Linked DNA regions of Nothobranchius furzeri. The protein of the gene in region 2 interacts with the protein of the main gene of each other region in a pairwise test. Links are inferred from orthologs where the notes say so. Each region holds a gene or a part of one and is shown on either strand. Other genes may lie near its edges.

Evidence for each region.
Region 1: the proteins of zbtb25 (region 2) and sephs1 interact in binary tests that used the Homo sapiens proteins (3 or more experiments, as listed by UniProt). The two-hybrid records come from large-scale screens. The link is inferred for Nothobranchius furzeri from reciprocal best matches to the Homo sapiens genes ZBTB25 and SEPHS1.

The regions. Positions count from the first base shown.
Region 1 is NC_091744.1:72,586,864-72,590,681, forward strand, and holds part of sephs1 (selenide, water dikinase 1), read right to left. Parts: intron 1,779-3,818; coding exon 1,624-1,778; intron 1,530-1,623; coding exon 1,439-1,529; intron 1,355-1,438; coding exon 1,255-1,354; intron 1,035-1,254; coding exon 822-1,034; intron 1-821. UniProt on the Homo sapiens protein: Synthesizes selenophosphate from selenide and ATP.
Region 2 is NC_091742.1:15,669,343-15,673,871, reverse strand, and holds the start of zbtb25 (zinc finger and BTB domain-containing protein 25), read right to left. Parts: upstream 2,802-4,529; 5' UTR 1,902-2,801; coding exon 1,819-1,901; exon of another isoform or gene 1,642-1,818; coding exon of another isoform or gene 1,634-1,641; exon of another isoform or gene 1,579-1,633; intron 995-1,578; coding exon 815-994; intron 694-814; coding exon 1-693. UniProt on the Homo sapiens protein: May be involved in transcriptional regulation.

The DNA.
Region 1 (3,818 bases), on a different chromosome or scaffold from region 2:
TTTAAAACTTCTGAAACAAACATGTGCAGCATTTCCAAGAACCAGAAGTGAGCCACATCACAAATGAGCTCCAGGCTTATTTCTTGATATCTGGACATCTCAGATTAGATTACAGCAACGCCACTCTACCACTGATTCTGTTTGCGCTGCAACGTTCATGTTTTATCTCCACAAATAACTCAAGCCTGAAGGAGTTCTGCTGTGTGGTGGAGTTGCTAATGCTAACAGTTAGCTTCTACTACCGTTTCCTGGATGTTAAACCAACGACACCCTTCCCCGTCACGGTTACCGAGTCCATGAATGTTAAGTGACAGTGAGACGTAGATCTGTCACAAATTTTTTAAGCACCTTGAGTGGTTGTAGAACCCTAGAAAGCGCTATACACACACAGGTCATTTACCATTTTCAAATCCTAGCGTTTCACCGTCCATTTCCTATCAGAAGCTAACACAAGAGATAGGTGTAGGAGACTATTTTCATGTTCAGCCAGCATGAAAAACTCTGAGTGACCGATTATTATAATCAGAAATATTAAAAAGGAGTTGTAATGTGCCATGTCTTTAAAATAATTTCTGCTTTACATCCTGCAAGTTCACTCTTGTATAATATTTAAATAAAACAAACAAAGCATTCACTCCTTTTCTCATATATGTTCTTTGTTATTAGAGTTTCAGCAGCTTGCGACACTTATTTTGTAAAGCTGTTGTAAATTATTGTAAAAAGTCATAAATAAAATATACAAGGAAGAGCATAGACAGAACAGAACTAGGTACACATACCCGCAGGTACCAGTAAAGTAACCTAACGACCTAAACAAGTACCTGATGTTTCAGGGCAGGTGCCGTGCATGAGTCCAAACATGTTCCCACAGGCTTTGGACACGGCAGCCATCTTGGCAAGAACCGGCAGGTTGTGGATGACAAAGGACACCTCGCTCCGCTGTTGTCGTGCCAGTGTCTGAGCGTGGCCAAGGATGCCAAACCCCGTGATGTCAGTGGCTGCATGGGCATTGAAGGTGTGCATAAGACTGGCAGCTGCAACAGAGAACAAACAGAAGCTTAGATGTGCTTCAGGGTGATTAACTCACTGATCTGTAATTAGATTTATAGTTTATGGCTGAAATGTTGTTATTTAATAAACAATGTTGCAAAAACCATTATGTAAAACACGTATTTACTGAAATTTCCATGTTGTGTAGACAGCCCATGTAATATCTCACACCGAGTTTATTCAAAAGCTGCTGCTGCTTCTTACCTGTACGATTGAGCCGCGCCATGTTCATCATGGCTTCATGGTAGGCGAGCTCCACATCTTCCTGGGTCACCACCAGCTTGATCTTGTTCCACTTCTCAGGCTGGGAGATAAAGAAAGCAGACACAGTCCAGTCAGTAGTGTGTATCACAAGATGTTTCTCAAAAGAACCATCGCCAGAACTTACGATATCTAACCACTGGTGCACCGCTACGGCCACTTGTGTTCCCAGAGGTTTGGTCAGAACCAACACGTCCCCTGGCACGGCGTTGTCTGGCCTGAGAAATGGCACCATTATGGTGTTTTAAAGAGACACAAAACATGCAACGAGCAAAAATAAAACAAAAATCAGTAACAAGAACTCATTCCTACATGATAAACTCGTTGGGCTGGCAGACTGTTGTAGCAACTCCTCCCATCACGATCCAGGGGTTGAGCACCGTCTGTCCCCCTGTGACAGACGTGCCAGCCTCCTCTGAAGCGTCTTTGAATCCCTGAATGATCAGGGGCATCACTTTGTCTCTTTCCTGTAAAACATCAGAATACAGAGATTAAGTCCTGCTTATTACATGAATATACATTCAGCCGTTTTGTCCACCTCATCTTGCCGATGCAGCGCTCTTCAATATCAGCTGAACTCTTCCAAGTGTGAAAATTATGCATCTACATCACTGACATATTTGCTAAGAAGCAAACTTTGACAAATCTGTGAGGTGTCCTTTCTTGTTAAAGGTTCTATATCATGCTGGTGAGAGCTGAAGTCAGTTATCTTAAATACGAGTCGTTTTAATCTGCCTGAATTTTTACCCAGAAACAAAACAGTTTGTTTTCGGGGAAACTCAGCCCACCTACAACAGCATCTTAGGCGAGTCCGATGCTGTATTGGCCTTGGTGGTCCAGTGGTTTAGGTGTCCAGCCCAGCACTCTAACCACTGGACCACCACGTCTGTTACATGACAGCAGTCACAGTCCTAGATTAAATCTTAATACATATAAACGCTGCACACAGATAAGAACTAAAACCAGCAATAACAATATCACGTGGGAAAAGGTTCCAAATAAGTGGATTTTCCATGATATGGCCCCTTTAAAAGATTAGTGAACAAAACACTCAGTCAGCAGATTTCATTTCAGCCTGCATGAATCACAGCAAGTCACAAATTAAAATTTGCTATGAATTAAAAGAAAGCTGTAATAAAAGCAACACATGAGCACCTGATCTGTTTCTGTGAAACAAGCAGCTTCTGAAGTATTTTTTTCTAAAATACTGCCTCGAGTCTGTTTGCTCTGCAACGTTGATGTGTCTTCTCCTCAAATAACACAAACCTGAAGGAGTTCTGCTGTGTGGTAGAGTTGCTAATGCTAACAGTTAGCTTCTACTAAGAATGGCCAAAAATCTATATTCTGATTTATTTTGAAGCGTGTGCTTTCTGCTCTCCTGATTAATTTTTCATGTTGTTATTTTGCTCATAGAAGCTAGGTTTTCAGTAGTGAATAACTGCAGGTTAAATGATGCTTTGCTGTATTTTTTTTCTCAGTAATGTTAAAATAAGGTTGGAGGTTTATCCAAGTTTATACCCTTTTGATTATTGTACTCACTGCCTGTGTGTGCATGTGTTAAAAATACAAACAGCATTTTATGGAATTAGCGTTAACGAGCTACTAACGCAGTTATAGAAATGTACGTTTATAACTCATTTCAGATTCAAATTAGTTTTATCATGACTGTTTATCAGTAATCTGACCTGCTTAAGGGGTTGTTGTTTATTTTGTTTATTCCAGCAGGTGTATTTTATATAAATGATAAAACCAGTTTACCTTGAGGGATGTTAAAGTCTCCCAGTAAAGCACAGGAAACACTTCAGATAAATCTGAAAGTCTAAACATGTCGGATGTTGGGCTGGGTTGTTTGTGGATGTTTTATTACCTGCTAGAGCTGCTCTCTGGAAGACTAAAGTCAGCAAACACACCGACTGCAAACCAGTTTGTTGCCATGGTTACGCATCATAACAAATGCTCTAAAAGTGAAAAAAGCTTAAAAATAGCAGTAAAAATCCTCCAAGCTTCACAGCACCAGAAACAGAAAAGTAAAGTGTCCAAAAAAATACAGTTTTTCTTGAGAAACTAGAAGGAAAAATGCCCAAGATAAGGCAAAACTTACATATAGTCAACAGAGCTACTCCAACATGCAGCCACCCAGAGCAGCGCAGTTCCAGAAAAAAATCCTTGTTATTGTGTGAGAAAAAAAAGTGTAGAAATTAAAATGGACTTGTGTTAATAGGGAAATAGCTGGCGAGCCATGTTTGCGCATGCGCCTTGAGCGGTTCTGGTGCTGTTTGGGCCGCAGCCGTTCGCTGTGCTACTTCAACAGTTATCTCCTAGTTTTTGTCTGGCTTGCAGGCTCTTAGATTCTCACACGAGGGGAAAATCGGCTCAGGTTGTATACTTATTTTTTGCACAGGCATTTGTTTACTGTGAAGTAAAGTTGAAGTGCTGAAGTTTTGAAAACTTATTTTGAATAAAACTTGAAGAATAACTGGCAATTGCGTGCTCATTTTAAGAGGTCT
Region 2 (4,529 bases):
GCATCCAGATCACCGCCATGCGACAGCCCCTCCATCAGGCAGGCAGGGTCAAGGGCGTGGCTAAAGAGGTGCTCCCGCAGGCCCTCTGGGGAGGAGCAGCGCTCTCCACAGCGGGGACACTGCAGGACCAGGGGACGGTCTTTAAACAGGAGTCCCTGAGTGGGACTGTTACACTGGGCGGGGGACAGAGGCCCCATCCCTGGCCCCTCCTCCCCCTCACCGTCCTCCTCCTCCACGCACTCCTGCTTGATGCGAGCTGAGATGTCCGAGTCGTCTCCCGACACCACTGAGCAGAGGTTACGCATTCCTGAAACTTGGTGGTCCGGCTGGACCCCTTCCAGTCCAACGGCGAGGGACAGCTGGGCCCGTAAGGCCTTCCCAGAGGACCGCCCGTCTTCAAGAGCCCCGCGGGACACTGTGGTGGTCTTCGGGGCTCCAGACGTCTCCTTGTTGGCCAGCTGAGAAGAGATCTGGATTCCATACAGGTTGGACATGCGGACCACATCGGTGGTGGCGTCAGGAGCACCGTCTCCGGGTTTCCGGCACAGCTGGTACGCGTGGAGGAATTTGATGCCGTCCTGCAACCGGCTCTGGTCCACTGGCTGTTTGGGACACATGCCCGTGTACATGATGTGCAGCAGATAGCTGAAGACGTCGGGCTGGATGTCCGTGGGCTGGATCTTGATGCACTCACTGCGGACAAACGGAAACCAGGATCAGAGCAGGACAGATCCGGTTCAGATAAACCAGATCCTGAAATGTTCTGTGTCCCTGTGGGAGTGCTGGGATCAGTGAATCTCAGGTGTTTGGTTACCTGGACTGGTGGATGAAGATCATTTTGAAGTAGTTGGAGAAGGCGGCCAGCACGGCTCGATGGGCCTTAAAGTAAACGTTTCCGATGGCAACGGTGCAATCACACAGGAAGCCGAATTCTCTCTGAACGTTGAGCTGCTGCAGCAGGAAGAGGCTGTGGGATGACACCTCCATGACCCGTCTGGAACACACACACACGCACACACACACACACACATGCACATGCACGTGCGCACAAACACATGCACACGCGCGCGCACACACACACGCACACACAACCACACACACACACACAGAGAAACGCGCGCACACACACACACACACACACACACACACACAGAGAAACGCGCACACACACACACACGACCACACACACACACACACACACACACACTTCTTGACCAGCAGCTAAAAAGTGACATCACATCAAACCCTCTGAGTGTGCACATAGATAATAAAGCATGAAGAGTTTTAATTGAATAAATTATTTTATTATTGGTTTAATTTGGCCCTTTTATACAAACAACTCGTATGTTGTATAAATGTTGTCTATAGTTCTGGTTCAGCTCAGGTACAGGAACACACCTGCAGGGTTAAGTCTGCTGCTAATAACAGCAACAAATAAAACCATTCACCCTTTCATCCTGACCCTAACCCTAACTCAACAACTCGTTCACTTTTGCTGCTTTTCCTAAACTCCCTGTTTTCACTATTATTTGTTTATTTAGATTGAGCTAACAGGTGAGCGCCACTCCTTCTCCTCACCTGCTGGACGCAACAAAACTGGTTTCTGCAGCATCACTGAGCAGCTGGAGCTCACCTGGACATCTCACACCTGTCCTCAACACTTCACGCGCAGGCTCCGCCCACTTCCAACCTGAGCTCAGGTGGACCAAAACGATCTCTGACCTCTGTGAAGGTCACCTGCATGACCCGGAACTGGGAGGATGGGGGAGGGGGAGATAGGTACTTTCATCACAACAAACCACCGGAACCAGAACGTACCCCCTCCGGAACGCCCGGCGCGAGCCACCGCAGCTTCGCGCGTGCACGTCACGTCGCGCCCGCTGAGCTGCAGCATCCTCCATCCTCCTCTCATCCACAATTACCACACACGTACGTCTTCATCACCAACACCGAACACACCCCGGCACGTATGCACGCGCCTTGCGCCCCGTACACGCCCTCTGTCGGCGCGTGTCGCGCACACGCCCCGTTAATCAGACTCTTACCGCAGAAACGAGCAGACTGTCTTCAGGAGCCGATTTGTTGCTGCAGACACGATCTCGCGTAGAGCCGAGCCACGTCTCGCGAGAGGACAGGTCAAAGGGCTGGTCACGTGATCCGGCGGTGTAAATCTTTTTTCCAGTCATTGGTAATCCCAGAAAATGTTTAATAACGGATCAGAGTCAATACAAAAACTAAATTGCAATTACCCCTTCGGGGGTAAATATGAACCCTGAAACCAGTTTGGATGATTTCAGCCTTTTCTCAAAGGTTATTTTTACTTTTGCTGCAGAATAATCCAGAATAATAAACCCTAACCCCGCTCAAAGTACAATTGAAGATAATGAAATGAGTCAACACCAAACACACGTTACCGTCTTTGTCAGAACGTGATGGAATTTAAACTCTTCTGAGTAAAAAAGATCTGATTAGAATGAATTAGACTTTCTGAGAATCACTGTTACTGTATTCAAAGGAAATAAAAATAGAGTCTATTCTAGAATGTGGTCTGGGATCATCTGTCTCGCCTGCAGAGTCACGCTGAAATTCACCAGAATGACAATCTCGTTAAACTTCTGGAGATTTTTTTTCGTTCCTGAATCCTGCTCAGAGTGAGACCTCCGTTTTCTTTTTTCTCTTTTCTCAGCTTGACATCACTCGACTGTACATACGGCCCCAAATGACCCCGAGTAAAGCTAGACAAACGCATTTGTTTCCGGTTTGGATTTTCAAAGTGAAATACATATATTTGATAGGGACTTATTTAGAAAATATTGGAGCCAACGCTAATTCTATCTATTGTGAACACAACAGATTTGTGCACCACACACAACAGGTCAGGGTATAACTTCCAGTAAAAGACTGGAGCCAATATAATGATCAGAAAATCGTGTGTTTTCAGTGCTACTGGAAGTAAACTAACCAAAAGTAAACTTTTTTTTTCATTAATTTCTACAATGAACTATCAGGAAAGTATTACTAATATTGTAGTTTGACCGCCAAAGTTGTGACCGGACGTCTTTTATTTTGAACTTCCAGGTTTGACGGAGCGGCAGACAGTGCGGAAGTTATTTCATCCTGCAGGAGAGGAGGAAGAAGAGGCAGTTCTTCGTCTCCAACTTTCCGCCTTAACGCAACAACCAGTCCGGGGAAGAAACACCGGCGCCCCGGGAACTACCGCCCTCCGTTAGCAGCAGCTCCTCGCGGCCCACCGGCACCCACGGTGAGTCCGCGCTTCTCTGTCCGACGCTCCGAGCCGCCAGGCCGGGTACGAGGGGAAATCCCCGCGGCCTGCTGGGCTCTGTACAGGCGGAGTGCGGTGGCTGTGCGGGGGTGGCGGGTTGTTTGCGGGAAAGGTTCGTCTCAGTAGAGCTGTTGACACTGGCGTGTTTGTTATCCGGTGTAGATTTTCAAAATAAAACCTGGTTAATGAATTAGTTAATTTCACGTAAATAATTGCTTGTAAACAACTTCATCAAGTTTGGTTGTACACCCTGATATCAATTAAAACTACATTTAGATTTCTAACAACATGAGAAGATAATGAAATTAAAGAGCGGGTCAAGTGTGCCTCAGAGTCCTCCACCCACATACCTTCGTGAAGACTTACCCGTCTTAAAACACTATTAGACACTTATTTATACAGTTCATCAGCAAAAAAAGTTAATTTAGACGTTACTTGCTCTTTAAATGAAAATATTCTATTTGTGGTCTTAGTGCCCTTTAAGCTGAGAGCTACCAACCAAATTTTGTTATGTGTATGCATAATGACAATAAAGAATTCAATTCAGTTCAAATCGTTACTTGGCACACATTTTGTCTGGTTGTTTAGTGTAGAAATAATTGGTGCACTTTGCAAGTGTGTGAAACTTATTCATGGTATGAATTTGAATTTATTGTAATATAAGGATATGAATGGTCCTTTTAAATATGTACCCATACCTGGATAATGTTTTCATTGAAAATAAAATTTGTTTATTTTTGTTTACAAATAATGTTTTCAAGTCCCCTTATTAATTCTGAACCTTATTTGTTAAACCAGTTTATTATAACATAAAAACAAATTATCGCCACTTTTTTGTAATATCACCTTTGCATGTACTTATCTTTTACCAGTAAAATTTAAATGTCTATTTTCTTGCTAACTTTTGCGGTTCTTGGCTTAATCTGAAATTTAAACTCCCTCTAAACCACGTGCCTTATTCGGCTTTTATTTAGGAAGCTCAGCTTTAACTTCCGGTGAGGTCGATGCCAACAGCACCTAGAATTAGCTTAGCTTAGCTAGCCGTGGCTGAGCTGAAATCTCCATTTTAGCTCCGTAGCTCGGCTGGCCTCGCCCCCCCGCTAGCCACCCTGTCACGGCCTGCTCCGTCCTTCCTGCGACCTGTAGCTGACGGCCGGTGAGTGCGTGACCGACACCGCGGTGGTCTTTAGCGGGGTTTGCGGGGAGTAACGGTAATTATAGTTCACGGCTTTTCATTACGGAGTCT